7 linked regions of the Daphnia pulex genome follow. Each later gene encodes a partner of the first gene's protein in a complex. Links are inferred from orthologs where the notes say so. Each region holds a gene or a part of one and is shown in the gene's direction. Other genes may lie near its edges.

Evidence for each region.
Region 2: E3 ubiquitin-protein ligase RNF113A-like (region 1) and armadillo repeat-containing protein 7-like share a complex: the UniProt entries of both Homo sapiens proteins name them as parts of the minor spliceosome. The link is inferred for Daphnia pulex from reciprocal best matches to the Homo sapiens genes RNF113A and ARMC7.
Region 3: E3 ubiquitin-protein ligase RNF113A-like (region 1) and spliceosome-associated protein CWC27 homolog share a complex: the UniProt entries of both Homo sapiens proteins name them as parts of the minor spliceosome. The link is inferred for Daphnia pulex from reciprocal best matches to the Homo sapiens genes RNF113A and CWC27.
Region 4: E3 ubiquitin-protein ligase RNF113A-like (region 1) and probable small nuclear ribonucleoprotein E share a complex: the UniProt entries of both Homo sapiens proteins name them as parts of the minor spliceosome. The link is inferred for Daphnia pulex from reciprocal best matches to the Homo sapiens genes RNF113A and SNRPE.
Region 5: E3 ubiquitin-protein ligase RNF113A-like (region 1) and puff-specific protein Bx42-like share a complex: the UniProt entries of both Homo sapiens proteins name them as parts of the minor spliceosome. The link is inferred for Daphnia pulex from reciprocal best matches to the Homo sapiens genes RNF113A and SNW1.
Region 6: E3 ubiquitin-protein ligase RNF113A-like (region 1) and U5 small nuclear ribonucleoprotein 200 kDa helicase-like share a complex: the UniProt entries of both Homo sapiens proteins name them as parts of the minor spliceosome. The link is inferred for Daphnia pulex from reciprocal best matches to the Homo sapiens genes RNF113A and SNRNP200.
Region 7: E3 ubiquitin-protein ligase RNF113A-like (region 1) and smad nuclear interacting protein 1-like share a complex: the UniProt entries of both Homo sapiens proteins name them as parts of the minor spliceosome. The link is inferred for Daphnia pulex from reciprocal best matches to the Homo sapiens genes RNF113A and SNIP1.

Annotation. Positions count from the first base shown.
Region 1 is NC_060022.1:4,928,941-4,933,200, reverse strand, and holds E3 ubiquitin-protein ligase RNF113A-like, read left to right. Parts: upstream 1-1,493; 5' UTR 1,494-1,717; coding exon 1,718-1,885; intron 1,886-1,956; coding exon 1,957-2,149; intron 2,150-2,205; coding exon 2,206-2,430; intron 2,431-2,513; coding exon 2,514-2,697; intron 2,698-2,762; coding exon 2,763-3,102; 3' UTR 3,103-3,250; downstream 3,251-4,260. Other genes in the region: protein unc-45 homolog B-like, read right to left, coding at 3,281-3,387, 3,472-3,640, 3,718-3,979, 4,038-4,245. UniProt on the Homo sapiens protein: Required for pre-mRNA splicing as component of the spliceosome. As a component of the minor spliceosome, involved in the splicing of U12-type introns in pre-mRNAs. E3 ubiquitin-protein ligase that catalyzes the transfer of ubiquitin onto target proteins.
Region 2 is NC_060018.1:4,531,035-4,534,809, forward strand, and holds armadillo repeat-containing protein 7-like, read left to right. Parts: upstream 1-1,796; 5' UTR 1,797-1,894; coding exon 1,895-2,003; intron 2,004-2,070; coding exon 2,071-2,376; intron 2,377-2,442; coding exon 2,443-2,561; 3' UTR 2,562-3,053; downstream 3,054-3,775. Other genes in the region: probable G-protein coupled receptor, read right to left, coding at 3,105-3,144, 3,222-3,775. UniProt on the Homo sapiens protein: As a component of the minor spliceosome, involved in the splicing of U12-type introns in pre-mRNAs.
Region 3 is NC_060020.1:8,995,762-9,000,660, forward strand, and holds spliceosome-associated protein CWC27 homolog, read left to right. Parts: upstream 1-1,787; 5' UTR 1,788-2,182; coding exon 2,183-2,224; intron 2,225-2,285; coding exon 2,286-2,451; intron 2,452-2,520; coding exon 2,521-2,564; intron 2,565-2,638; coding exon 2,639-2,675; intron 2,676-2,736; coding exon 2,737-2,870; intron 2,871-2,949; coding exon 2,950-2,979; intron 2,980-3,048; coding exon 3,049-3,185; intron 3,186-3,248; coding exon 3,249-3,407; intron 3,408-3,496; coding exon 3,497-3,628; intron 3,629-3,695; coding exon 3,696-3,883; intron 3,884-3,959; coding exon 3,960-4,080; intron 4,081-4,143; coding exon 4,144-4,306; 3' UTR 4,307-4,351; downstream 4,352-4,899. Other genes in the region: trypsin-1-like, read right to left, coding at 1-94. UniProt on the Homo sapiens protein: As part of the spliceosome, plays a role in pre-mRNA splicing. Probable inactive PPIase with no peptidyl-prolyl cis-trans isomerase activity. As a component of the minor spliceosome, involved in the splicing of U12-type introns in pre-mRNAs.
Region 4 is NC_060026.1:14,103,532-14,106,553, reverse strand, and holds probable small nuclear ribonucleoprotein E, read left to right. Parts: upstream 1-1,447; 5' UTR 1,448-1,572; coding exon 1,573-1,620; intron 1,621-1,700; coding exon 1,701-1,869; intron 1,870-1,928; coding exon 1,929-1,996; 3' UTR 1,997-2,135; downstream 2,136-3,022. Other genes in the region: serine-rich adhesin for platelets-like, read right to left, coding at 2,531-2,928. UniProt on the Homo sapiens protein: Plays a role in pre-mRNA splicing as a core component of the spliceosomal U1, U2, U4 and U5 small nuclear ribonucleoproteins (snRNPs), the building blocks of the spliceosome.
Region 5 is NC_060018.1:216,035-220,704, forward strand, and holds puff-specific protein Bx42-like, read left to right. Parts: upstream 1-1,344; 5' UTR 1,345-1,818; coding exon 1,819-1,835; intron 1,836-1,907; coding exon 1,908-2,528; intron 2,529-2,590; coding exon 2,591-2,789; intron 2,790-2,855; coding exon 2,856-3,172; intron 3,173-3,240; coding exon 3,241-3,519; intron 3,520-3,591; coding exon 3,592-3,793; 3' UTR 3,794-3,928; downstream 3,929-4,670. Other genes in the region: uncharacterized protein LOC124188708, read right to left, coding at 4,081-4,295, 4,357-4,537. UniProt on the Homo sapiens protein: Involved in pre-mRNA splicing as component of the spliceosome. As a component of the minor spliceosome, involved in the splicing of U12-type introns in pre-mRNAs.
Region 6 is NC_060022.1:2,641,876-2,646,863, reverse strand, and holds the end of U5 small nuclear ribonucleoprotein 200 kDa helicase-like, read left to right. Parts: coding exon 1-24; intron 25-93; coding exon 94-583; intron 584-653; coding exon 654-2,893; intron 2,894-2,962; coding exon 2,963-4,243; 3' UTR 4,244-4,390; downstream 4,391-4,988. Other genes in the region: palmitoyltransferase ZDHHC16B-like, read right to left, coding at 4,525-4,624, 4,683-4,957. UniProt on the Homo sapiens protein: Catalyzes the ATP-dependent unwinding of U4/U6 RNA duplices, an essential step in the assembly of a catalytically active spliceosome. Plays a role in pre-mRNA splicing as a core component of precatalytic, catalytic and postcatalytic spliceosomal complexes.
Region 7 is NC_060018.1:419,260-422,958, reverse strand, and holds smad nuclear interacting protein 1-like, read left to right. Parts: upstream 1-1,699; 5' UTR 1,700-1,755; coding exon 1,756-2,727; 3' UTR 2,728-2,811; downstream 2,812-3,699. Other genes in the region: sulfotransferase 1B1-like, read right to left, coding at 1-117, 197-347, 430-526, 852-1,095; biotin--protein ligase-like, read left to right, coding at 2,875-2,883, 2,946-3,091, 3,160-3,694. UniProt on the Homo sapiens protein: Required for pre-mRNA splicing as component of the spliceosome. As a component of the minor spliceosome, involved in the splicing of U12-type introns in pre-mRNAs. Down-regulates NF-kappa-B signaling by competing with RELA for CREBBP/EP300 binding.

The DNA of each region.
Region 1 (4,260 bases):
TATAGATGATATATACGCTGAAACTGCATATAGAGAACATAGAGCGAAAAGTCTTCATAAAAGGGCAGCAGCCCCATTAGAACGCGCGCGTAACTTGTGTGTGCTGTGTAAAGGATTGATCCTGCTGCCGTGCTGGCCCTTCTCTCAAAAGCCCCTTTTATACGTGTATAGTAGTGTAGCATGTGGATATTATATATCTTGTCTGGATCATTCAGCTTCTGTATAAATAGGCCCTCGCTTTATGCATAACATGTATCTATCATTGAGTCCCTATTTATAGCCTCCTCCCCTCTTTGCATAGAACGAAACGGTATATCTGCAAAACTGTGCTGCAATAAGTCAATGTGCCAATCCTGCTGGAGGAGGAAGTCAAAGTTTGGCTAGATGGGCTTTTCAGTCAGCGACAAGTTTGACCGAAAAATTACTTATACGGTACGGCGAAATAAAAATATTTTTTGTTTTAAATGAATAGGTATAGATATTGTAGTGCAGTATAGGTGTATAAATGGAGTCGGAGGATGGAGATCAAGTAGCTTTTCATCGGACGGTGAAGCGCTTCGTGCACTTTTGCGGCCGGGTTTTCTGGCCTGCGCGTTCCTTATTATTTCAACTTGATGAAAAGTGCTGGGCTAATTAAGGCGCTGTAAGGGAATCATCAAGCGAACGGCCCCCAGCAGCTAGCAGTCTGCTGATGATATAGAAATAATAAGCGCGACATCGGGCAAAGACGAAAGAGGCCCGCGGAGAACAAGCCCCCAAAAACCAGCAAAAAGAAAAAAGTAGACGAACGAAGAGGAGATAACAGTTCAGTGGCCGCCGCCCCACCCAGAAAAAAAAAATTAATAAAAATTGGGTAGGGGAATTAAGAAAATAGAATTATTATTCAGTCATATGTGGCGAAAAGGTTCTTAAAAGCTTCGGCAGTCTTTTCTAATTGATCGCCAGCAGAAGCGTATATAGTGCGTATTATTATTTCGAGGAGAAGAAAGAAGAAGGTCCTCAGACTCTGTGATGCGCCGAGCACATCTATACATATATACACGCCACCAGATTATTAGAGGGGAACCTACTAATTAATGAAAGGATGCTCCTTTTTGTACTGCCTGTGTGTAATCGAGTCGCCAGAGATTTTTAAGTAACGTGATTCTTCCCCCCATCCATTTCATTTGCACAAGGAAAATAAATCACCAAGGCATATGGAAATGATTAGAAGAAGACCATAAGAAATGACGACGATGCCTAATAATAATGATGTAAAGCAATAAGATATGTCGATTTTATTTTTCCAAAACAAATGCAAAATAGCAAAACCCGTAGTAGTAGTAGTAGAAACGGATGACGTTAAGATATATTCAAAGTCTCAAGCGGGTTTTCGGGGTCGGATCATTAATACCGACATCGTAGATGACAAATCTGGATCACAATAATAAAAGCTTTTGTGTGTGTGTGTGTGCATAGTTCTCTATGTACTAGTCTCTGTTGCTGTGCATATATATGTAAATCTGCAGCAGATCCCTTGCTGCGTATTCAATCAGTCATCAAGAACCCAATTAGAGGAATCAGACAACAGTGCACCGGTAATCCTTTTGAAAAGCCGACGACGAGAAGACGGAAGGATTTTTATTTTATTGTTCTCGTTTGTTGACAAGTCAAAATACATTTTTATATACAAAAAAGGAAAGCTTGATCCAACAAGAAAATCCACAAACAAACAAAAATGGCCGACGACAATAAAGTTTGCACGTTTACATTCAAGAAACGAAGAGGAGGAGGAGCCGCCATGAGGAGAAAAGCTGATGATGACAAGAAAAGCAGCAGCGAAGATGAAACTGTTGTTGCTCGAGTGGGGAAAAAGGAATCGGCTGGACTTCTTTCGGCTAAAACTGTGAGTTATTGAAAGTCTCTGCAAAAAGAATTTGTGTTTCTCATCGTGTTTTTTTCTTTTGGGGTTGACAGTTCAAATCCACGAAAAAGTCCCGTCAAGAAATCCAAAACAGCTCTGATGAGGAAGTCAAGGAAAAGGTCACAGTCGTCTTCCAGTCTGACAGAAGTGCTGAGAACAAGAAAGACGATCTTGCCACTTCCACAGTTCAGATCGACACTGCCGTCGATCAAGATGCCAGGACAATTTTTGAGAAATCTTTACAAAGTAGGTCAACTTTTTTATTTAAAATGAACCAAAATAATGTTTTGTTTCTTTGACAGTCCAGCAGGAGCTGAAAGGCAAAGCAGATGACAAGAAATATCGTGGCCTTGCTAACTATGCCCAGTACTACGAGAAAAGAGATACAGCCCAAGGAAATGCTGCATCTGCCAATGTGAGAAAAGGCCCCATGCGAGCCCCAGCCAACATCAGGTCAACAGTGAGATGGGATTACCAACCAGATCTTTGTAAAGATTACAAGGAAACGGGTTTCTGCGGTTTCGGAGGTATTCAAAATCTAACCAAAAGTTTTTGGGGTTATTATCATCATTCAGTTGAACTTTTATAAAGCTTTGCTGTGTTTTATTAGACAGTTGTAAGTTCTTGCACGACCGTTCCGATTATAAATTCGGATGGCAGTTGGAGCGAGAAGAAAGGGGAAAAGGTGAGCCGGCCGAAGACGACTCAAAGTATGAAATACACTCGGACGACGAAGATTTGCCCTTCAAGTGTTTCATCTGTCGCGAGTCGTTCCAACATCCCGTTGTCTCCAAGTAATAAAGACTCTCTCCTATTCATTTATAAGAAGGAGAATTTAACGCAAATTTTGACACGGCAGGTGTAAGCATTATTTCTGCGAGGCCTGCGCCTTGAAACATTACCGCAAATCGCAGCGGTGTTTTGTTTGCGGCAAACAAACTTTTGGTGTCTTTAACCCGGCAAAGAGCCTCATCGAGCGGCTCAAGTTGGAGGAAGAAGGCAAAACTTACAAGGAAGCAGACAGCGACGAGGAGCTCAACAACTTGGAATTGATTATGCAGCCGTCTGGCAGCACTACTGGTAAACCTACGGGAGCAACAGCAGATGTGGAGGAGCCCGTTACGGAGATTGAGCACATTCACTACGCAGACGAAGGAGTCGTGGCCAACGATACGGATTCAGATGATGACAGCGATTGAGGATAAGATCATCTTTATTTTTTCCCCCTACCATTCACGTGTAAGAATACATTATTTTGTAATTCCTTCTTTTTTAAATAATGCTTTCAATTGACGTATAAAGTGTATTTAACTTTAACGAGTGAATTTGCATAGGCACACAATTTAATTTTTGTTTAAATCATTTCATTAAAATTTATCAAGACTCATCTTCAGAGTCGTCCTCCTTCTCGATCAGTTTCCATTGCTCGGCGATTTCCAGGGTTGATTTGGCGCAGTCGCAAATTTTGGCCATTTCAGGTGTTTCTGTGTGCAGAGCGGATTCAAATGGGTTACAAAAAAGATTAGTTCAAGGCACCATGTCAAAAGTTTTAACTTAATCCTCTTTACCGAATTTGGTGAGAACTTCCAGGACCATAATAACCTCAGGTTGCAACAACTTTTCGGCCAACTCTTTCGAATGACTGGCGATGTTTTTGACGATAACAGCTCCTCGATATTGCACGTCTTTGTCCGTATTGCTCAGTAGGAAGCAAAGGATTTCTTTCCACTCTGTCGCCTATTGACAAATTTAACAAGAGAAAAAAAAAGTTAAAATCAATTCCAGGGAAAAAGTTAAAAAGAATGGAGGCAAACCTCGAAAACTTTCCGTGAAGCCCGTTTACTGACTGACGTCAGAATAGCCAAGGCTCCTGCAGCAGCTTTGGACATCTCAACGTCTTCTGAAGTGGAAAGTAAGACTAAATACTTGGTGCGGTCGTTTTTACCCTCAAAGAGTTTGACCACTTCTTCGCTAAACAGCAAATTGCTCATCGTTTGAACCGAGGCCTTTTTCAACATTTCGTGGTTTTCGTACATGTAATTCTCGATTTTAGCAACGCCTTGCTCCTTGAGGATCCTTTTAACCGAGATGAATTATTTATTGGCCAACAATCAATTGTTTAAATATTTCATACCTTTTTCTCGGGGCATCGAATCCAGCTAAATTGCAGAGGGCCATTAAAGCTTCAAAGTTTTCTAGAGCGTTGCATTCGAGATCAAGGAGACCTAAGAGTGGCCGGATCAATTCGCACATTCTCTGTCCTGGGAATGCCACTTCCGGGTTGATGGTGATAGCGATCCTGGCCAATGCCTGGCTTGCTTGGTATTTTCCTTTAGTCGTTCCTATTTTTTTACATT
Region 2 (3,775 bases), on another chromosome or scaffold:
TCATCAGGTATATCCGGGTTGATCTAAAGAGAATACACAAGAAAAAAAAATCCCGATGAAAAAAACTGCTGGAGAAATATTATTGAGTTTAAACTTACCATGATTACCGAATCATCGAAGGAGTCTAGGAATATTTCTCCACTATCGCGTGCGAATGCAGAAACCTTAACACCTCCAAATGCAACAATGGCGTTATCCAGGCTACTGAGCTGAAATAGCTTTAGCTTTGCGACTGAGTGCAGTACCCACGGCTGAAAAGTTCTTGTCCCTGCGAAAATAAATAACTTTAAAACTGTCGGAATCAAAATTTGTCTGATTCAAAATTTCACCTCAAATCAGCGTAAAGCTCTTCGGCCGAGTTTAGAACAACAGATTTAACAGAGCTACCATCAGAGCGAGGTGACTGGCCCGCATGTGATGAGGCTTGAAAATTTTCTCCTGGAAGCTTGACTGTATCTAAATAACAATGAAACCACAAAATGCAAGTAAAATAATTGTTTTACTCAGAAGCTAACAATACTTTCTTACTATGTTTTATTCCATAGAATTCGTCGATAAGACCCTCATAGGTCAACTGAGTGACAACAGGAGTTATCAAATATACAGTCCTATCAATGATCATAAGAGTGTCGAACAACGGAGATATGGGGGGATCACAGTCTACCCCAATATCACTCGCATTCGAGTCATCAATTCGAATACGTTACGGGCATGGCGCCCCTTACCCACAACGTTGGGGAAAATGCCATATAAACTTTGGAGGGACATTAACCCATGAGCAATTTGGTGTAAGGAGCTGATTTCATTGTCAACATATAAATCCTGAGAATAAATTTGAAGAAATTGATGACAAGCAATCCCTTTCAAAGTTTGGCTCATAAATAAATACCTTGAAAACATTATCGAGTTCCATTGAAATGACATCACTATCTAGTGGGAAAAAATCAACAGGCAGTTCATCAATAGAAGTAAGAGTTCCATACACTCCTTTGTCCTAAATGAAGTAATAATTTTGTCAACAATTTCTTCTTCGCTGATTTAAGTAACTTTAACCAACCTTGAGCCGCTGTTCACATACTGCACTTCATCGGGAGATAAAAATTAACTGATATTCCTTACTAGCAGAATGTCCTTGGCTTTCTTCGCTGAAATGTAAATTAACTTATTGTTGACTATTTAAAGTTAAAATATGTAGATTATTCATACCTGTGCAAGTTATCGGCAATACAATCCATCAGCTCAACTTCAGGTCTTGTGATGAACAGTATATTTTTAACAGATATGGAAGGCAAGCACCCAGGTTTTAACTGGAACATTTTTACAACATCTAGTTCCTTAAGAAAACTGTATTCTGCCACCAAACCAATGGGGCCAGTGAGTTGTTCATCCCAAAATATTGCCTAGCATAATTGATGAATTTACGTACATTTCTTAAATGGAATAGCACACACCAATATACCTTTGTTCCACTGAACTTCTCTAAAAGAGGAACAATATCCTGTAACAATAACAAAACTGTTGACGAAATTTATTTTTACTGAACAAGACATCAACAGACTGTCAACAGACAACCTAATGGTTTTTGTGGTTGTCCTAAGTCACAAAAAGCTAATGACTAAATCCGCATAAAATGAAATAAAATTTAGTATTACCAAATGAATCGAAACTTACCTATCCGCTGAGATAAATTACTGTAAGTTTACACAAAAAGTTTGAAGAAAATCGATGCAGTAGTTTAGATTTCTATAAATTTATTCTGATTCTGAATTAAAGGTTCTGGAAGCCTGGCCCAGAACACCGTACACTCCCCCCACATCCCTCCCCCTCCTACACACCCAGACACCCGCATTTACTTTAATGCCTTCTGGTAGTACAAGTACTACCCTCAGGGATAATGTTTACTACTCGTAAACAACTTTATCGAAAATCGGGTAAAAAGGGAGTAGATCGCTTCGAATTCCTTCAAGAGTTGGTTAATGAATTCTATCAATCGAATTCTCTTGGTATGTTTCATCTTTAAAAACAAATTTTAAAAAATTACTACTAAATAATTTGTTTCAATTATTTTAGAAAGCCAAGAACAAGTTTTAGCTAATTTGGCCAATTTTGCGTATGATCCCTTGAACTATGATTATATCAGAGAACTCAAAATAATTGAATTGTTCTTAAACGGACTGCAAAGCAGAAATCCATTCTTTGTTGAATACTGTTTGAAGGGTATTTGTAATTTGTCCAATGATCCCCTGAACCAAGATATAATATTCAAACACAATGGACTCAATCATATTAAAGAATTTGTAAAGTCTGAAAACCCTGATTTAGTGAAACACGGACTTACTACTTTGATTTTTCTACTTTCATCAGCAATTCCATCAGGTAGTAAGATCTAATAAAAGTAACACCATTTTATGATTTTAATTTCTCATCTATGTTTATCAACAGATGTTGCCACTTCCGACTTGATTGCCCAGATTCAACTGTTAAAACATAGTGAAAATCAAAACATAAAGAACTTGGCTACCATTTTCTTAGAAGAGTCATCTGGCATCAGTTCAGGCTAACTTGAAAGGAAATGTTCATCAAGAGAATAAAGTGTATACTCCAGAAGAGCACCAACATGAAGATGAATCTTGCTGAAGGGATAAACAAAAGATTTCTTCAATCATTCATTCAGAAAGGCTCCACAGTAGTAGAACTTAAAAAAGTAACTTATGCAGATGTGGAAAGTTTTTCCAAGTTGACAGGTGACTTAAATTCAGTTCATTTTGGTGGGGAAGCTATAGTTCATGGGGTTTTGCTTAATGGCTTTGTCAGTGCTGTTCTTGGCACCCAGTTACCTGGGCCTGGTTATGTTGTTTATGAACAATCAATGACTTTTCCAAATCCCTGTCGAGTTGGTGATGATGTAGAAATTCTAGTAGAAGTCGTAGAAGCCAGAAAAATTGTTGTCTGTAAATACGTGTGCACAAGTATTAATCAGCAATGTGTTGTTCATCAAGGTACCGCTAAATTATTGAAATTTAAAGGATTAAAATAAAACCTACATCCATGTAGCCTATGCGTTTATTTCTCGGCGCGTCTCTTCAGCTGATCTACGTTTAACTTCAAGCAGGAAGAGGACTGTTAGTCCGTTCCAAGAACTCCCTAGACAGTTTTTCAAAGTGTAATGGGTGAATGTAAATACATAACTAATAAATTATAGGGATTAAATTAAAATTTACCAGAAATTTTCTGCCGCATTAGCTCCATGCTCTTCTCGATTTGCTGATTCTGTTTGCGTATTCTTACAAAACAAAAAATGCTTTGTCATTTGCATTTTGCCTTTGATTTCTATTCGGATGGCACGATTCAAGAGACCGTATAACAGTGGATTAATGCTGATTGATGCATACATAAGCCACGTCACCGTTATAGAGCCATTGTTTGTAACGTACCCAGGAACTGCGTCACACAGAAAATCTTCGTGATGAACAATGGGGATCACGTTCAATACCCAATAGGGCGACCACAGTACAATGTAGGAACCGATTGTAAGCACTAACGTCTTGATTGCTTTATTACGTTTCTTATTAGAGACCATACTTGATTCTGTTTGCGAAACGACAACTGGATTTACAGTCCATATTCTTGGAGTCGTTTCATTAATTGGAGGAAACAGAGAAGGGGTCGGCTGAATTGTTCTTTGCACATTCTGTGCAACTCGGTAAATGTTTAAATACATTACTACGATAATAATGATTGGAAGTACATAGACTGCCAAAAATTGCAACCAACG
Region 3 (4,899 bases), on another chromosome or scaffold:
TAGGAATATCGAAGCAGCAAACACTGCCGATTCCCATTGCGAAAACTATTGATACTAAAAGTAACAGAACGTTCACGGTACAACATTTCTTCATTTCTATGTGTACAATCCACACCAAATTCGGTCGACGGTTTGTATTTTAGAATGTAACAACAACGAAATTTCGTCACAATTCCGCTTTTGAAGTATAACACTCAGTGTTTCCTGATAACGGCTAGTTCCGCGTTGGAAGACATAGCACGGTCGCGTAACTTGGTCCACTGAAGAAATCACGACTGGGAGCAACGACAAGTAACAAAAAAGAAAAGCAAGTCCGAAAGATTTAACGGCGAAAAGGGAGGCGCTTATACACAATGATCCATAATTTGATTGAAAAGCTATGATGACTCATGTGACGTTGATAGTTTTATCAAAACATTTCCTTGTAACTTGTGAAGAGACCAAACACTACCTCATTGCGAGGCACTAGGAACACCACTGAATGCCTACCGCTCGTGGTTGGATTTCGTAGACTTTTAATCGTAACATTTCTCTTCGTCATCCTTTCATTTGTTCTGCTCTCTCCTCACTTTCTCCTAGGTTCCGCAATTTCCAATGGTTTACCGAAGAAATCCAGGTCACGTCGCTATTAAACTAACGTTATACGCTGCATGGCTGTTTACGAAGATTCATCAACCATGGAGAAGCAGCCACGCAAACTATGCGCCCTAATACTTTCTATTCACAACCGTTTACACATCAATTACGCTTAAACACTAACAATACCATTCAGATGTATTTAAAATTATGCAAATTCCTCTGAAACTCCCCATTTGTATGCGCGGTTGTCTCAGATATATTTGTTTAAGGTTTACAATGATTGTTACGGAAAAACCCCAAAATAGGTGAAAAAGTCTAAAATTTGTCAGCCTGCCATACGTTCAGTGTGTCATGTCGCGTCATCGTCCGATAGGCGTTTCATCCGGCTTCATCCTCATCACGTTCACACGGTACTTGCGTTTCCTCTTGCTATTCGATTTTGTTGCGGTTGTTGTTCTGAAGCCTCCGTAAAGTTGCTTGCTAATTACATGCTAATAATAAGTATCGCAGCAGCAGATTCGTTTACCAAATTGGGAGAAAATAGAATTTGGAGAAAGCAGGCCATACTTTTATTGTTTGGTACATTGTGGTCATAGCTTCATCCATGACTTGGTTTGTCCTATTCCTTAGTCAATTAATAACCTTCAGCTAAAATACACAACTTTCCAAAAAAGAAACTGAATTTTCGTCTTTGCCTACTAAAAGTAGGTCGGGTTATTAAAAAAAAAAATTCCAGATTTCATAAAAGAAAATTTGTCAGGTTGATCGCGGTAAAGTTTAAGTTTTTAAATCTAATGTTTAAAATATATTTATTGTAATAAAAATACTCTTAGCACAGTAGAAAACAAGATACAAAGGCTTTCCTCACACTTTAGATTTTTCAGTTTCTATACCTAAAACAAAACGCAATTGAGATATTATAGCGGTAGGAATAGGAAGATGAGGAAAAAGGGTTTCTAGATCAAATTAAGGGTATGGAGCTATCCAGCAGATTTTTAATTTTTTACAGAAATGCAGATTTCAGTTTTGGGACATCACAGTTGAAATCCTGATCCCAAATTTTAAGAGAAAAATAATTAAAATGAATTTATTAACTAATTATTTCATGAGTGATAAAGAAATAGTTGGGAGAGATTTTTTGAAATTCCAAATCAGTAAATCACGAGCTTAGTTCTATGTGTGTCCTATAAGGAAATCTATTTTTACTAAATCCATACGATACAACGATAGTTATCGAATAAGACTGAAGATAAGTGAATTTTTCCGTCAGAAACTCAGAATTCAAGAGCGATAAATGTATGAGTATGGCCAGCATAGTATCAGGCAACTCTTATTTACAGTGCGTTGCAATCGTCTGCCACCAGTAGCGCTGTGAGTCGAAAGGATAAAATGGTTTGTTTGTTTAAAAAAAAACCAAACACAGTTCGCTCGAACTAGCAGCCAACAACTCCGAACTAGACATAGAACTGACATAGATGCTAGATTGCTACTACTACTAGCTTTGTCGAGCTACACATTACCTCTGCACATTATACACATCAAAACACGGAATTTTAATTAGTTTCATTTTGATTTTCTTCCTTTTTCTCCTCGATTTACAACAATGAGTAACATATACGTTCAAGAACCACCAACAAATGGAAAAGTTTGTATTCTTTTCATGTATCATTGATTGAACTACGTGCTAAAACGTAACTTTTGTTTAGGTTGTTGTGACTACTTCTCTAGGAGAAATTGAAATAGAACTGTGGAGCAAAGAATGTCCAAAGGCTTGCAGAAATTTTGTTCAACTATGCCTTGAAGGATTTTTCAATGGAACAATTTTTCACCGAGTGGTACCAAATTTTATTGCTCAAGGAGGAGATCCTTCTGGTAAAACTTAATAATGTGATCTGTTGTTATTTATATTTGATTGAAACAATTACCACCCCTTTTTCTTAGGGACTGGCCATGGTGGTGAAAGTATTTATGGGGAACCATTCAAGGTTACATAGTATTCATTTGAATAGAATTCATTATTTCAGTCTTTATTAACCTTTTACAATCTTTTGGTATTCAGAACGAAGTTCATTCACGTCTACGATTTGTCAGAAGAGGTAAAGCAAACATCTTCTGTGTTTTTATTACATAATGTACCATTTCAAACATCTTTTTAAGGATTGGTTGCAACGGCTAACACTGGAAACAATGACAATGAATCACAGTTTTTTTTTACCTTGGGTTCTTGTCCGGAACTGCAAAATAAGCACACAATTTTTGGTAGGGTTGCTGGGAATACTTTGTTCAACATGGTAACTGACAATTTGTTAATTACGCTGGGAACAAATTATTCAAGAAATTCTAATGTACAATTTTTTCTCTTTCTCATAGATCAAATTTAATGACTTGGATATTGATAGTGTAAGTATATTTAAATTTTGAAACTCAAATAATAAAATAATAAAATCAATAAAATCATAAACGCTATAGGAAGATAGACCTCGTCATCCACCTAAAATTTTTAAAACAGAAGTTATTTCTAATCCATTCCCTGACATTGAACCAAGGATTAGCCAAGAAAATATCAAGAAACCAGAGGAAATAAAATCTAAAATAAATAAAAAAAAGTATTAAGTCCAGCTATGTAATATTGTTATAACTGCTATAAGAGCTTGTGTTTGATTCTGTAGGAATCTTCAGCTGCTTTCCTTTGGGGACGAAGAAGAAGATGAAACAGATGTTCATCAGCCAACTAAGTCTTTTCGTGGGAAATCTTCTCATGAACTGACTAACGACCCTAAACTTAGCATTGTTCCTGCAGTCAACGTAGAAACGGGGTTAACAAATAAGTACGTTTAATAGAACAAGCCGTCAGATCATTTTCAAAGACTGTGTATGGTCTACATTCATATGTAAAATTTCCATGTCATATTTTCAGCGACAAACCGACAAAAATTGAACGGCAATTTGAAAAGGTTGTGCCTCAAACTGATTTGCAACCAGAAGTATCACCTGAAAGTGTAGATGTTGACATTTCGAACCAAAAGAAATCTGAAGCAAACAACAAACTGTAAGAAACAAACAAGTCATAACAATTACTTGATAGTTATGCTCATAAGTAAATGCTTTACTTTTAGAAAGCAAATCAAAGAACAGATAAGAGACTTGAAAAGGGAAATGAAAAACCCAAGTGAAACTCCTCAAGATCAAGAATTATCTAAGAAAAGAAAAATTAGCGACAGTGAAGAAGATAATGAAATACTTAAAGATTTTCATGAGCAGCAGAAGAAGTATGCGGACATAAAAACAACACGGCGAGGAAAGGGTAAATAGATCAATTGTTTAAAATATTTGTTACCTCATCATATCATCAACAAGTTTTAATATTCTATTTGGAATAGGCACGGACCGAGAAGCTGAAACCCTTAATTTCCTTAAAAAATTTCAGAGTAAGCTTAGCCAAACTCGGACAACGAAAGGAGGCGTTGATGATATTGATGACGTAAACGATGATGATGCATGGTGAGAAATAATTTTTTATCCCTATAAATTTGAAAATTGCAGAATTTCTTTATTTCTTTCTAGGTTGAATCACACGTTGAAATTCGAAGACAAAAATCCTTCGTTAGCCCGAGATGCTAATACAAAAAGTGATGATTGGTTTGAAATCTACGATCCCCGTAACCCCTTAAACAAACGAAGAAGAGAGGAATCAAAGAAGATCATGAAAGAGAGGAAATTCAACTAAAAACTAAAAATGATCTCCAGTTTTGAAATGCACATATAAAACTCACCTTTGTTTGTTAATCTCACCAATTTCTCTTTGATTCAACGAGCTTGAAAATCAGAAACAAATGTCACTTAGGCTTGCTGGAACATAAACTTGTGTGTCAATTGTAGCCAAAGTAGTCTGCACGCGTAAAGGAATTGTTATGTAAAGGAAAATTCTCCAAAATTTTTCGTGGGATCAATATAAACGGGATTGGTCACGAACGGTCACGAAATAACCGGGGATAAAAGCAGCGTGCCTGTGTCGGTTATCTGTTGAAACATCGGACTTATGCAAAAGAATCAAGAATAGGAAATTGCAGAGCTACTAAATGTTGCTAAATGTGTGACGCGTGTTTTTATCAAACCAAATGGTAAATGCGCACGACTAAATAAATGGACTCTTCGGGGGCGCTAGGGCGGGGGCACTGGAGACTTGGTCGAAGTTGATTTTGACTTCACAAAATTTATTTAAATGAATTAAACAAGGTTCTGTTTTCTGTCTCTGCTGTCTTCGTTTTCTCAGTGAATCTGGATAGCCAGATATGGAAGCCTAAAACCGGCCTATTTTCA
Region 4 (3,022 bases), on another chromosome or scaffold:
ATTTTGCACTGCAGACGAACATTTGTGAGAAGAAGCGGCGATGCCAATTTAAATGTAAATAGACTTTCTTTTCTTTCTCATTTTTCATGCCAACGTAAAATTTGAAAATTGACTTTTACCAATTTTGAATTAAATACTGTAGGTGAGATGTGACACAGTGACACACTTGGCAAATTAAAACCGTATGTTTTATAGTTACGTCAGAGAATGCCCTCGACCCCTCGTATGAATATGTCCTTATCTTCTTTTTAAAAAAATTATTCCACGAACAGAACAGCGAAACTCATTGTGGATCCCAAGGCGAGAACAGCCCAAAAGTTGACATTAAATGAAAAGTATTAGCAGTATTAGCTGTGATTCTGTGAATTTTTCCAAGCAGCAAGCATCAGTTGTTGTAAGGAAAGGAACGGCAGATCGGCGCAGAACGGCCACACGCCACAAGGCCACAGCCCACAGGCCCAGTCAGCAGAGTAATAGAAAAATATATTAATTCTACAGGTTTTTTGGCATACGGGAGGATTAGTTCAAATTTCGCCAATAGATGGCTTTTTGGAATTTTGAACTGCGCGCGTAGAAATTGGAAAACGGTTTGAACTGCGCGCCTCGAAAATGAAAAACAGTTTGAACTGCGCGCGTAGAAACTGGCATCTAGGCTCTAGCGACCAAAAGTAAAAGTTAACTGGCATCTATCTAGGCTCTAGGCGGCCTAGAGCCTCCGCCACAGCACACACCTAAGTCACACCCCAATGTTTGAATGTTTGACATAACTTTTGAATGTTTCGATATGTTTTAATTGATTTCGATATGTATTATTTTTTATTAGTATACGATTTCAAGTAAAAATATCGAAATAACTTAAACGAAGCGTAAGAGAGGGTGGGTGTTGTGGTTTGGTTTGTTCTAACTGTTTACAGATTTATCTGTAACTATAACTAATTATTTTTTATTTCATATTGCTTATGAAAATAATAAATTTTGCTGTTACTTAAGCTAAAAAGAGAGTGCGACGTGGGGTGGCGGGGCGAAGCCTCCGCCACACCTAAGTCGCACCCCTTATGATTCACAGATATTTTTTGATGTTCCGATAGGCCTTGTTTGATTGATACTATTTAATGTAAAAGTATAACAGTAATTTAAGCGATTAACGAAGCAAGAGGGGGGGGGCGGGGGTGGCAGGCGAAGCCCGTCCCCCCTCCCATTCACCATACCGATAGATTCATGTAATTAATTTTGAATTTCATGTTTACTTTACTTTTGCTTTTTTAAATTTTTAATTGATATTATTTCCTACGGGAACCTCGCAAACCGGAACGGGATGCCAGCATAAAAAAAGTAATATTCTGTTACTCTGGCTTGGCTGCTTGGCTGCTTTGCCTGCTTGCCTTTGCCGCCCTTGTCTTTTTGAAAAATATCGGAAAATCCCTACGAGGAAATAAATATCTGGCAACGTTGTTGGCAATTGAGCGTCTGTGTTCGTTTCTTCTTCAACAAAAAGTGTAAACTCAAACAACTCTCATTTAGAAATTTGATAATTTTCCCGTGTGGAATCAATTAAATATCAATTCAAGATAAATGGCAGCCCGAGCACCTAAAGTCCAGAAAGTGATGGTTCAACCCATCGTAAGTTTTCACCACTATCACTTCGATTTCAGCACGAAGATTTATTAACCGGCACGTGTGTCAAAAATGTCTTTTTCCAGAACTTGATTTTCAGATACCTTCAGACAAGATCAAGAGTAGACATTTGGCTTTATGAGAACATCAACATGCACATGGAAGGACACATTGTTGGATTTGATGAGTACATGAACATTGTTCTCGATGATGCAGAGGAAGTCTACGTCAAAACAAATGTCAGAAAACAGATTGGTAATGACGTTTTCATTTACTCACAATTATTCTGTCTTCTAAATGCTGTTTTATTTTAGGACGGGTGTTGCTGAAAGGTGACAACATTACTCTAATCCAAAATGCTGCAGGAAGTGGAGACGACTAATCTTCCTATATTAATTGGTCAGAATGCATTCCCAATTTGTGTTCTGTCGTGTATTACCTTTGATTAACGGGGAACTGATTTTGTGTACATCCAATCTTGATGTGCTGACTGATAAGAAAAACATGATGCTACAACCACACTTGAATATTTCATTCTCAACATCTATTTATTATTTTTTAGTTTTATATAAATTTCCCTAGTAATATTTTCCAATATTTATTTTGATGAAGCCTAGCCACTTTTACACATGAAAAATGTCTCCGGCAAGAGAATAATTTACACAATGACAAGAATAATCATGTTTTGAAAACAAGTCATTTCATGTGGACTACAATAATAAAAATAACCTATTGCACAACATTGTGTAACCACTTAAAATAGAAGGTACAAGTATAAAATCAATAAAAGTATCAATGATATCAGCCTGTTAGGTGGGGGGTGTACAACATAGCAAAGAGTGAAAACTAGCAAAATTTCAGACCCTAAAAATAAAGTAGTGTTTAAAATAATTACACATACATAATTATCAATTTATTATGACACTTCGATAACAGAGAAGCTGTTGCAATTCAAACTGGAATTGCTATTGTGTCTAGAACCGCAGCCCGAAGGCGAGGGTGACGGGTTGGACGACGAATCTTTTATTATTTTGCTGTTGTTATTATTATTCGACGTAACCAAGACTTTGCCATCCAGGGCTCCGCATGAATAGCGTTGCGTTTGACTATCGCGGCGTGATCTGCTGCTGGCCACTCTCAACAAGACCAAAGTCTGTTGCTGGCTGTCGCTAGTTTTACCGTTAGTTTTATTCAGTTCCAATTCCAAATGGATGTTGGTCGGTAGTAGACCATCTTGGTTCATTTGATCCACAATGTCGGGGCAGCTTTTGACGCGGCAAAGTCCATACATCATCAACGATTCGCCAACAACATCTAAAACAAATAAAAATCGTAAAAAAACAAAAACAAAATAAACTTTTTAAAATGATGATTAGACTATAAGGTAGAAACTACATGAATCAAAGAA
Region 5 (4,670 bases), on another chromosome or scaffold:
TCATAAGAAACACACGCATATCTACTTGAATGAACTGTATACATCCTGCATGCATTTATTATTGTTCGTCTTAATGAGATGCTCGGTGCTGTTGCGTAATTAACGTGCCTCGGGACCTCAACTATCTCTCTCTCCATGGGCAAATAACTTGAATAATAAACATGACTGCTGCCATGGGCTTATCTGTCAGTAAACTTCACCATCAGCTGCTGCGCCACAAGCACCCCGGTGCCAAATCAAGTTCCCCTTGTGCCAAGGCCTACATAGTATAGTCTGAGCGAGACAAGGCGGCCTATATCGATCGATCCGTCCAAAGAGCCTCAACCAACCCCCACCACCCAGCCAACTGTATTATCGCACAAGGGAAAAGGCGAAACTGCTATACACACACATATATAGTCTTGGATCAAATAGATGATATATATACAGAGGAAGAAGAAGACTTTGATAATGAGACGTGCTGCTGCTGCCGTTCCTTTATTTATTGGAGACCGGCATCAGCACATCTCGTATTGATTTCCTGTTGCAAAGAGAGCAGCCGTCGTCGTCGAAAAGTTCCCAAATCTTGTCCTACAACTGTCTCTCTATTATCGGATGTACTGTATGCATTGTGGATGCATTATAAAGCCCTACGCCGCAAAAGAGATTTATTGGCCCACACATTGAAAGTCGAAACGGAAGGCGGAAGAGAGACGGAGATGAGGCGAGCTCACGGTCACCGCACATCCACATTTATCATTTGTTATGGGACGAGACTCTGAACTGCCTCGCTGATTCGCATCGCTTCAAAATGAGAATCTATTCACTATAGTATATCAAACTCTTACGTTGGCATTTATGGCCACCGGATTTCAGACTGTTAAGCCAGCTATCCGTTGATAAATCAGATGGTGCAACCCTCCCAACGAGAACAGCATTTATTTTTACGACTGTGTCGTCGTCGTGGGATATATTGGCCAAAGTGAAAGTTTTTAAGGTGTTTACTTTTTTCATATGGCGATGCGCTCAGTTCCGCTCGGCGTCCAACTTGTAACACAGAGAGGGTCGATTTCATCAGCGCTCACTTTTACACGTCGGCGTTAATTGCGTTGCATCAAACGAAAAACACAGTGGGCGGCAACTCGTTATATTTTGCCTTGCCATTAGATGTTATTACAAGCAGATTGCAAGAGACGCGAAGTTCCATTAGAGTTGACAAGCGTTCGTATTTCAACTCGGGGCGGGTATGGATTACTTGACTTTCTTATTCTTTTCCACCCACTCTCGACTTTCATCTCATTACCGTAAAAAATGCCAAGAACGGCTGCGAGGAGAAGGAAAAAGGTTGTTGACTGCGCTCTTATTTTTTTATGGAACGGAGAAGAAAAACGTCGGAAGGAATATGAGAGAGAGACTGTAATAAGAAAAGGCGCGCTAACACTCTCATCTCAAGTGCGTCTATTTATTCCGCCCATCATTAAACCTTATTGGATACATCCAACGCAGAGCATACACACACACACGGCGCCACAATCTTGTAAAAAGTTTTCAGGATCGATACGACGTTTTTCCTTTTTTTATATAATTCCCATCACGTCTTGAGCGCCCCATCCCATTGATGGAGACACAATTTTATGTAAACTCTGGATAATTTAATAATATTCTTTTTTTTTTAATTTGTATCGAATAAAATGTCGATGTTGCGAAAAGCCGAAAATATCCCGCATTTTATCTCGCTCTGTTGCGAAGAAACAATCTGACAACGTTGCATCATAAATTATTCTCGAGTTACAATTTTTGTATTTGGCAACATCTTGGTTGAAAGACTCGACTGAAAACATGGCGTCGTTATCAAGGTATAATAATTATTTTTTTGATTTCCTTGTATTTAAACTATGTATTAATTATGGTCATGTTATTTTATACAGTTATCTCCCAGCGCCAACGCAGTTGACGTGGGATCGAGATGTCGAGGAGCAAAAGGAACGTGCTAATCGCCAAACGGCCATCGTGGCCGCCACAAAGGCAATCCCACCATACGGAAATCGCGATTCATGGATGCCTCGAAATGTTTCCGATTTCGGAGATGGAGGTGCTTTTCCCGAAATTCACATGGCCCAATATCCAATGGACATGGGTCGCAAAGACCAGGCTGGACAAAAGTCAAATGCCTTGGCCATCCAACTTGATGCAGAGGGAAAGATCAAATATGATGCTATTGCCAGGCAAGGCCATGGGAAGGACAAACACGTCTACTCCAAATTCACTGATCTCCTGCCTGCTGAAATTACCAATGAGGATGATCCCTCTTTGCACAAGCCCACAGACGATGAAATTGCAGATATAACAGAGAAAACGAGACAAGCCCTGGAAAGAATCACCAATGCCAAAGTAGAAGCAGCTCTTCCAGTCCGTGCCGCAGAGAGAACTGGCCCTGCTCAATTCATTCGCTACACACCAGCACAGCAGGGTGATGAATTCAATTCTGGCGCCAAACAACGCATTATCCGCATGGTTGAAGTACAAAAAGATCCCATGGAACCCCCAAGGTAAATTTTAGAAAAAGTGCCATTTCATTTCATTCCCATATTGACTGATTATTTTTCACTAGGTTCAAAATCAACCAAAAAATCCCCCGTGGTCCACCTTCTCCTCCTGCCCCCGTGTTGCATTCTCCTACACGTAAAGTAACTGTCAAGGAACAACAGGAATGGAAAATTCCGCCTTGCATTTCAAATTGGAAGAACGCTAAAGGTTACACCATTCCTCTTGACAAACGTTTGGCAGCCGATGGTCGAGGACTTCAACAGGTGCCGTCCCTAACGACCTAAAAACGTGTCTTTCCCCAATCAACTAAATGTTGTTGTTTCTCGCAGGTTCACATTAACGAGAAATTCGCGAAATTGGCCGAATCATTGTACATAGCCGATCGAAAGGCCAGAGAGTCGGTTGAACTTCGCGCCCAACTTCAAAAGAAACAAGCGCAAAAAGAAAAGGAAAAGAAGGAAGATACTCTGCGACAGCTGGCGCAGCAAGTCCGCGAAGAGAGAGCAGGTCTGCGACCCGGTGCAGGCGCTGCTGCTGCTCGTGAAGACGACGATGATGCAGCGGAGCGTGACAACTTGAGACAAGAACGGCATCGTGAGCGTCAACGTGAGCGCAACATTGCACGCGCGGCTCCCGGCGATAAAAAGTATTAAACATTTGATTTCCTTTCAACTTTTTCCAGTCAATTAATTAACAATTTCCATTGACGCGTAGATCCAAACTCGATCGCCAACGCGAGCGTGACATTAGTGAGCAGATTGCATTGGGGATGCCTGCTCGAGCTTCTGCAAGTGGCGAGACCATGTACGATCAGCGTTTACTGAACCAAACTCGTGGAATGGACAGTGGATTCGCCGATGATGAGGCCTACAATGTCTACGACAAACCTTGGCGTGAACAAGGAACTCTGTCCAGTAATCTCTATCGTCCGACCAAGAACCTCGATCAAGATTTGTACGGCGACGATTTGGATAAACTTGTCAAGACCAGCAAGTAAGTTGACCTACTTTCAAGGTGCATTGGTTTATGAAGTTGAAACTCATTTTGTTTTTCATTTGTTTACAGGTTTGTACCTGATAAGGAATTTAGCGGAACTGATCGTTCTGGTCCTTCCGGCTCCCGCAGTGGTCCAGTTCAGTTTGAGAAGGAAGAGGATCCTTTCGGCCTCGACAAGTTTTTGACGGACGTCCGCAAGGCCAGTAGCAAACGACCCACTGACGCGGAACGCTCAGACAAGGACAAGGATAAGAGACGGCGTCGAGACTAAATATTGTTTTTCTTTCCGTTGACGATTTCGCAATTTGTTTCATTTTACCTCACACAAAAAAAAATCTTTTTAAAAAAACCACAAAAACAATGATTCCTTTTCTCCAAGACCAGAATACATTTCAAATGAAATGTCTGTGACTAGTTTTATTTATTCATTGATTACGAGACAAAACACTTGATTCAATACTGTAAAGTGACGAAACATTTTGCAAGAATGTACATAATGGTAAATCGAAAATGCAGCAGAAGACTTGAATATCACCAGACAAGTGTAAGTAATAATCATCATGAAAAGAGTCCAGTGGAAAGTCCACGATAAAAACACCTAGCCTCCAGAAGCCTGTGTAGCTGCTCTATGCTGATAAGTCGGACATGAGCTTCTTCACTCAGCTGCTGTCTCTCCTGCAGCAGCCCAACCAGCGTGTCAGAGGTATTGTAGATTTGCAGTAGCAGCCAGTCTTGCAACTTTTTGAGATCATCAATCGCAAGGTTTTCACAAACTGGGAAGAGCAACACAATTAAGGGTTTGCAGGTAGAAAAGAAAGAACACGTAAAACTTACGAGAGTAGGTCTGTTTAACTGTGCGGGGTTTGAGCTCAAGTTCAGTTGGCAAAGTGCTGGAAGTTTCTTCATCGTTTGTGGGAGTTTGCAACGGATTAATCGCACAGAAAATGGCAGTTTTCGATGGTGGTGAACCACCGTTCAAAAGAGGTAACCGACAGTCATCCTGGCCAGTATCCATGGCGAAGAATGGAGTGGTCTGTCAAATCTCCAACACAACAACCATAACTACTTTTACTGGTTGTTGGGGAGCAAACAAGGGAACCTGTGCTGTTTGTCCTATCACCTTGACAGATCAAATTATTCCGAGAGAT
Region 6 (4,988 bases), about 2.3 Mb from region 1:
GTTTCCACAGCTACTTTGGCCTGGGTAAATATAATAACTAATCAGAGCGTTTTAGAAAAGGTCAAATTTTAACGATTTTTTTACCAATATTAGGGTGTCAATTTGCCAGCCCATACTGTCATCATCAAAGGAACGCAAGTCTACAATCCGGAGAAAGGTCGATGGTGCGAACTTGGATCTCTCGATGTCTTGCAAATGTTGGGTCGTGCTGGTCGACCGCAGTACGATACCAAAGGTGAAGGTATCCTCATCACCAACCACAGCGAGTTACAGTATTACCTGTCGCTGCAAAATCAGCAATTGCCCGTCGAGTCGCAAATGGTCAGCAAACTACCAGACATGCTGAACGCTGAAATCGTTTCCGGCACAGTGCAAAATGTCAAAGACGCCGTCCATTGGTTGAGCTACACTTATCTCTACATCAGGATGCTTCGTTCACCGCAACTTTACGGCATATCGGTCGACAAACTAAAGGAAGATCCGATGCTCGAGCAACACCGAGCTGACTTGATCCATACGGCAGCAGTTTCACTTGAGAAGAGCCAGCTGCTCAAATACGATCGCAAATCCGGTCAACTTCAAGGTACTGTATTTTACATTGCAATTTTGTTATAATGTCCACAGAAATTGATGGGTCTTGTGTTGGAATGTAGGCACGGAATTGGGAAGAATTGCCAGTCATTATTATTGCACCAACGCAAGCATGGCAACCTACAACCAGCTGTTGAAGCCAACTTTGAGCGAAATTGAACTATTCCGAGTTTTTTCGCTCTCTTCCGAGTTCCGCAACATCACCGTACGTGACGAAGAGAAATTGGAACTTCAGAAACTTATGGAACGTGTGCCTATACCCATCAAAGAAAGTATCGAGGAGCCTAGTGCTAAAGTCAACGTTCTATTGCAAGCCTACATTTCGCAGCTGAAACTGGAAGGCTTCGCTTTGATGGCTGACATGGTTTACGTGACTCAGTCAGCTGGTCGTCTCATCCGAGCCATTTTCGAGATGGTTCTTAGCCGAGGATGGGCCCAGCTAGCTGATAAAGCCCTCTCACTGAGCAAGATGATTAATCGTCGCATGTGGCAATCCATGTCGCCGCTTCGGCAATTTAAGAAGATGCCAGAGGAGATCATTCGAAAATTGGAGAAAAAGAGTTTGCCGTGGGAAAGACTTTACGATCTAGGCCCTACCGAAATGGGAGAACTTATTCGAGCTCCTAAATTGGGCAAGACCATCCACAAGTATGTTCATCAGTTTCCCAAGCTGGAGTTGTCTACTCACATTCAGCCAATCACTCGCTCCACGCTCAAAGTGGAATTGACCATTACTCCCGATTTCCAGTGGGACGACAAGATTCACGGCAAAGCTGAAGCTTTCTGGATCTTTGTCGAGGATGTGGACTCTGAGGTTATTCTCCACCACGAATACTTTCTTTTGAAATCGATTTACGCACAAGACGAACATCTGGTCAAGTTCTTCGTTCCAGTTTTCGAACCTCTGCCACCCCACTACTTTATCCGCGTTGTTTCGGATCATTGGATTTCCTCGGAGACGCAGTTGCCTGTTTCATTCCGTCACTTGATTTTGCCGGATAAATACCCACCACCGACTGAGCTGTTGGATTTGCAGCCGCTTCCTGTCACTGCTTTGCGTAATCGATCCTACGAAGCTCTCTACGCCGACTCGTTCCAGCAGTTCAATCCCATTCAGACGCAAGTGTTTAACGCGCTGTACAACACCGACGATAACGTCTTTATTGGTGCTCCAACTGGAGCTGGAAAAACCATTTGTGCTGAATTTGCCATTCTGCGCCTTTTCAGTCAGAAAGAACAAGAGGCTTCGGCTGAAGGAGTAGCTGAAGTTGAAGCTCGTTGCGTCTACGTTACCCCCAATCAAGAACTTGCGGATAATCTCTTCATCAACTGGCAAGACAAATTCGCATCGCGATTAGGCAAGAAAGTGGCCATGTTGACTGGAGAAACAGGCACCGACCTGAAACTTTTGGCTAAGGCCAACATCTTGATCTCGATTCCAGAGCACTGGGATGTTTTGTCACGTCGTTGGAAGCAGAGGAAGAATGTCCAGAACGTTCACTTGTTTATCGTCGATGAACTTCAATTGCTGGGCGGAGAAGACGGGCCTACACTCGAAGTAGTTTGCTCAAGAATGCGCTACATCGGTGCCCAGCTTCAGAAACCCATCAGGTTAGTGGCCTTGAGTCACTCTTTGGCCAATGCCAAGGACGTTTCGCAGTGGTTGGGTTGCCCAGCAAACGGCAGTTTCAATTTCCACCCGAACGTGCGACCAGTTCCGTTGGAACTTCACATCCAGGGATTTAACATCACCCACAATGCGTCTCGCCTCATTGCCATGGCTAAACCTCTGCATAACGCTATTTCTAAGCATTCACCGAAAAAGCCGGTACTGGTCTTTGTTCCGTCGCGAAAGCAGTCTCGCGTGACGGCCTTCGATATCCTGACTTACGCCGCCGCCGAGAACGAACCGGAACGCTATCTCCATGCCGAGTTGGAGGACATCAAACCTTTCATCCAACGGCTAACCGACAAGACACTCCACGAAACACTTAAGCAAGGTGTTGGATACTTGCACGAAGGTCTTACAGTCCAAGACAGAAGAATTGTGGAGCAGCTGTTTGAACTTGGGGCCATCCAGATCGTTGTCGTTTCGCGCACTCTTTGTTGGGCTGTCTCCGTTCACGCTCACCTGGTTATCATTATGGACACGCAAAGTTACAACGGTCAACAACACATGTACGATGACTATCCCATTACCGATTTGATCCAGATGGCTGGCAGGGCTAATCGACCGCGCGAAGATGACGACGCTAAATGCGTTCTCCTGTGCCAATCGTCCAAAAAAGATTTCTATAAAAAGGTAAACTTGGAAACTTTCTCCTAATGTTGTAACACTTGATTGTTATTTATTTGTTTCTTTCTTTTCTAGTTCTTGTACGAACCATTGCCCATCGAGAGCCATTTGGACCATTGCCTTCACGATCATTTCAACGCCGAAATCGTGACCAAAACAATTGAAAACAAGCAGGACGCTGTCGACAACTTGACGTGGACCTTTTTGTACCGGCGGATGACTCAGAATCCCAACTACTACAATCTTCAGGGAGTGAGTCATCGACACTTGTCTGACCACTTGTCCGAGTTGGTGGAAAGCACGCTGAATGACTTGGAGCAATCCAAGTGCATTACCATCGAGGAAGAAATCGACGTTAGTCCGCTTAATTTGGGCATGATTGCTGCCTACTATTGCATCCACTACACGACGATCGAGTTGTTCAGCTTGTCGCTCAACGCCAAGACCAAAATCCGTGGTTTATTGGAAATTATTTCAGCAGCCGCCGAGTATAAGAGCGTGCCAGTCCGGCATGGAGAAGAAGCCGTATTACGTCAGTTGGCTACCAGACTTCCCAATAAGCCTCAGACTAATGCCAAGTTTAGCGATCCCCACACTAAAACGTTCCTCTTGCTGCAAGCTCATTTGTCTCGCGTCCAGTTGCCAGCGGAGTTGCAGCAGGATACGGAACTCATTCTGGGCAAGGCGATTCGATTGATTCAGGCCTCTGTGGATGTGCTCAGCTCCAACGGATGGCTTTCACCAGCTGTGGCCGCCATGGAGTTATCGCAGATGGTGACTCAAGCTATGTGGTCCAAGGATTCGTACCTGAAGCAGCTACCTCATTTCACCACCGAGATTGTCAAACGGTGCACCGACAAGGGACTCGAAACAATCTTCGACGTCATGGAAATGGAGGACGACGAGCGCAACACTCTACTCGGACTTAATGAGTCCCAGATGGCGGACGTCGCGCGATTCTGCAATCGTTACCCCAACATCGAGTTGGGATTTGACGTTTTGGATCGCGATCGAATCACTTCAGGACAATCTGTAGTGATTGCAGTGAACCTTGAACGTGAAGATGAAGTCGTTGGCCCAGTCCTTGCTCCTTTCTTCCCACAGAAACGCGAAGAAGGCTGGTGGGTAGTAATCGGCGACCCGAAGGCTAATGCTCTCGTTTCCATCAAACGTCAGACATTACAGCAGAAGGCCAAAGTCAAATTGGATTTTGCGGCTCCAACGACTCCTGGCCAGCATTCTTACACCATTTATTTCATGAGCGATTCGTACACGGGATGTGATCAAGAGTACAAGTTTACCATCGATGTCAAGGAACCATCAAACTCTGAAGATTCTGACTCTGGTTCCAACTAAACATGAAGTCCAAAACTTTTTCAATCTTTATTTTTGTTTCCATTTTTGCTGGTATCATGACCGGTTTCGTTTTTAAAACATTGTGAGAAATGTCATGCCACTAAGCATATTTGCTCGCTATGAATAAAATGCGCTAAATCATTTCAATTGTTTGCACACGTGAGATTTATTTCGAATTATTGATTGGAAAAATTCGATTAATCACAAATAAAATTACACTAGGTTTCACAATCATATTTAAGCGGGAGTAACTTATAAGCGTTTTAATTTATACAAACTGATCATTTGTAAGAAACATGAGTCAGATCATTTTTGAAGTTCCATGAGATTCCGTCACCTCGTGGAGGATGAACAGATGGAAAGAAAACGCACCACCATGTTCTGAGAGAAGAACAATTAATCACCGAACATAAAGCTTTAGCAATTTAAACTTGATTACCTTCCTTCAGAGAGCCCAAGAAATATCCGCCAATTTTCATAAGTACCGTAGTCATGTGGGTTGACAAAGACATTTCCTTCTAATCGTTTAGCTTCGCGGTCATCTTTGTTAGTCAAATTTTCAATGCTCGTTTCCCCTCTGGATATAAGTCTGGCGTGCCACCCAACTAAGGCACTCAAGGCAGCTAAAACTCCGGCACAGAGTATTGCCTCCGTTACAGCGACAGCCCTTCTCAGTGATCTTGGTCGAGGTGCTGGAGCTACTTCTTCTACCTGCTAATTAAATGATTAAGAGTTTCAACAGTTT
Region 7 (3,699 bases), on another chromosome or scaffold:
CATAAAGTATCGGGCGAATTTTTCAACATCTTCAGTAAAATTATGAAACTGAATCAGTTTGTGATGATGAAAATATGAAACAATGACATCTTTTGGATTACGGGCTACATAAACCACCTGCAAAACACAGCAGATAAAATATTAGTAACAACCAATCGCCTACGGTTTACAAATATGATTAAGGGAACTAGATTTCCTTGCAAGTATCCAATAACTTCGGATTAAGAAGATAAAATGGCAGATGGCTTTTAATAACTCTTGGTGAAGGCATTTGCTCAACCTTATCAAGTGTAATCAGCATTTTGCTGTGCTCTGGTGGAAGACAGCTACCAATCATGTATGGGAACCTTAAAGAGTCCATATAGTTCATAAACCGAAAACGGAAATGTCTTGTTAAAGCTCTCAATGACATCCCAACAACTGACATACTCTAGAAAGGGTGACCGAACTATTAGTGGTGCCTTAGATCCAATTGGATCACAATTGTTGAGAATCATCCACACTAATTCCTGTGTCCACGTCGTTCCTAAGTAAACAAATTCAAAGTTATCAATTTTATATGTGCGGGAGAATACGAAAAGTTAACACTTTCAAGATCCGAGAGATTTGTATTTGTTTGTTTCAAACTATGTGTTTTAAAATAGGCGGGGAGAAATACAAGGTTGCCATTTGGCTACTAGACTTTCAAGGCTACGGCCAAAAAAATTGATGACAAAGAAATAAATTGTGACGTAATAGCAGTAATTGCTAAACAAATACCACTAGGATATTTATTTTTACGAATTATTATTTTATAAAAATGTAGCTATTACATAAAAAAAATCTTAAAAATGATTGAAAAAGGATTTTACCGCATTTTGGAAAGGTTACTACCCAAACGTCGTCGCTTCTTGGTTGAAAACGTGAAATTTCTTTGGCATGGCGTGCATACTCATCCGTTAAGAGAAAACCACCAGGTTCGCTCTTCATCAGTCCATGCTGCTCGTAGTTTGTGAAGTGTTCTTTCAAGTCTCCATTCACTTCTACAGGATTGAATTTTATGTTCCACTCTGGAACAACTTCGGGAGGAACTGAAGGATTTTCGGGGTTTGTCATCGTGCGAGAGCTCAGACAACAAATGAAAACGCAACGGCAAAAAGGATCGAACAAAGACCGCGACGACTGAATGACACCGTGGCCTCCTTTTTTATACTCAACAGCGACTCAGCGAGTGCCACATCAAATTTTAACGATTTGGTTTTCGTCGTTAAATCAAATGCAAAATTATTAAATCCACGTAAATATGTATTACAATATCAGATATTTGATAATATTTATTTAAATATTTTACAACGACCCAACGAGCAAAAGAAAAATATACTTCTCTAACAACATAATTTTGATTTCGAAAATGTTATGCTGTAATCGATTACAAAAATTCTCAATTTGGCATACATAAGCATTACTCAATTTCTAAAACATTACATAAAAAAATGAGAATATAAATACATTAAAGAGCAGGCAGTGAGGCAGCAGAGAGCAGGTCCGCGGACGGCGGACCGCTAGCGGCTAGCCGTTTACAGGTGGTGGATGAAAGTAAATCTGGCAACGGTTACGAGTTGCGACACCATTTCATGTTGACAAGCCGAGAAACGAGTTGTATCAAACTGAAACTGAAACATTGAATTGATCTCGTTTTTTTGAGAAATACGCCAGAAACATTAAGGTAATTAGAGAGTACTTGTGCATATCTTGTTTTATTTCGTTTGGATCGCCATGGTAAAGCACAACGAAGACGAGAGGAGTCCCAAAAGGTCCCACGAACGAGGCCATGAAAGAGGCAAGACTCACAGACGTCGTGAAGAACGTGACTCTTCCCCACCACGAAAATCTTCACGAAGCGACCATTACCATTCAAGAAGTGATGACTATGAAAGAAGTCGGAAATCAGACAGCAGGAGACATGATTCACAAGTTTCACACAAAGAAAGTAATCGAAGAAATGACCCACCAATTCCAGTTAAAATCAAGAAAGAACCAGTTAGTGATGATGAACAAAGTTTCAGACGTCCACAACACAATGAAGGGCCTTCAAGACGGCATGAGCAACCACATTCAGAAGATCGACCACCAAGACCTTTTAAGCAGAGACGCAAAAGCCCCCGAAGTGAAGATGCTGAAGCAGCCAACTACCAGTATGGCCAACAAGTTAAAGATGAAGAAGAAGAAGGAACACTCGTTGAAAAGCAAAAACCCAACTTTGGTCTATCAGGAAAATTGACTGAAGAGAAGAATGTTTTCAATGGTGTGGTGGTCAAATACAGTGAACCACCTGAAGCCAGAATTCCCAAGCGACGGTGGCGTTTTTACGTCTTTAAAGGGGAAGAGGCATTGCCTACGTTGTACCTTCACCGTCAAAGCGCCTACTTAATCGGAAGAGATCGTAAAGTTGCTGATATTCCAATCGACCATCCCTCTTGCTCGAAACAGCACGCTGCGATCCAATTTCGGTTGGTAAACTACGAACGGCCTGATGGAACTGCAGGACGTACTGTCCGGCCATATATTATTGATCTGGAAGCAGCCAATGGTACTTTTGTAAATAATCAAAAAATTGAATCCAAACGTTACGTCGAATTGTTCGAGAAGGATGTGGTGAAGTTTGGCTTCAGTTCCCGCGAATATGTTCTCCTTCATGAAGAAAGCAAAACAGATGCTAGTTTGGACGATATGGGAGTGGGGCAGTGACACGTTGGTGACCAGCAATGTTTTGTATCATAACAATTTTCTTTTTTGAACGCCGCAATACACTTAATGTTTCTGCGAAAGGTATTCAATCGTCTTTAAGTGTTCTTTCATTTCATTTCCAGGTTTCACACATCAGTGGGGCTGTTCATGTTATTCGTAAGTTGTCACGTTAATTCAAATTTATAACTAAAGCAATTTTTACAACCAGTTGGTAACAGGTAACCAAAATTGCTGGTGTCATGAGACCTGTGGAACGACTGCTGGCCTCCTCAGCAAGACCGCCCAACATTCTAATATGTACGAGTGACAAAGAAGTTTTTCAGCAATATCGAGCCCTCTTTGAATCCACACTAGAGCCGGATTGGTATATAAACAGTATAGACATTTGATATCTGGATTCTTGATCTTAAACAATGTAACATTGATTGACAGTTATGCCCTTTACCATCTCGATGAACTCTCATTTCGTTCTAAAAAAGCTTGGCTAAGCAACACAAGCCTCCTAGTACTTGCTTCTCGATGGTCTGATAATGACTTGCACGATCCGCTGGAAGAGTACATCAAGAAGGGTGGTCAATGTCTTTCCCTACACCCTTTTTCTCCAAAATGGCTGAATGGAACCCAAGTGAATGGCGTTACAAAGTACGTATCTGATCAAGGCTTACTAGTCTCACCAGTCGACAAGCTTGATTTCGCTCAAGTACTTCCACATATTCTAGAACTTCACTTCCACATTAAGACACAAGTCAAAAGTCAACAGGAGGCTCGTATTGAATCACAGCAAATGGTTGGCCATTTAATCGCTGAACCTTATCACCAAGAAGCTTTTTTCCGTAATTTTGGCCGACAGTCCCCTGATATGATGACTGTTGAGCTCACCAAGTCATTTTCGACAAACAAGCAAGAACCACCGATAAATATTCGCAGAAACCAAAGCTCAAGATTTAACCAACGCGATTATTTTGATGTAAC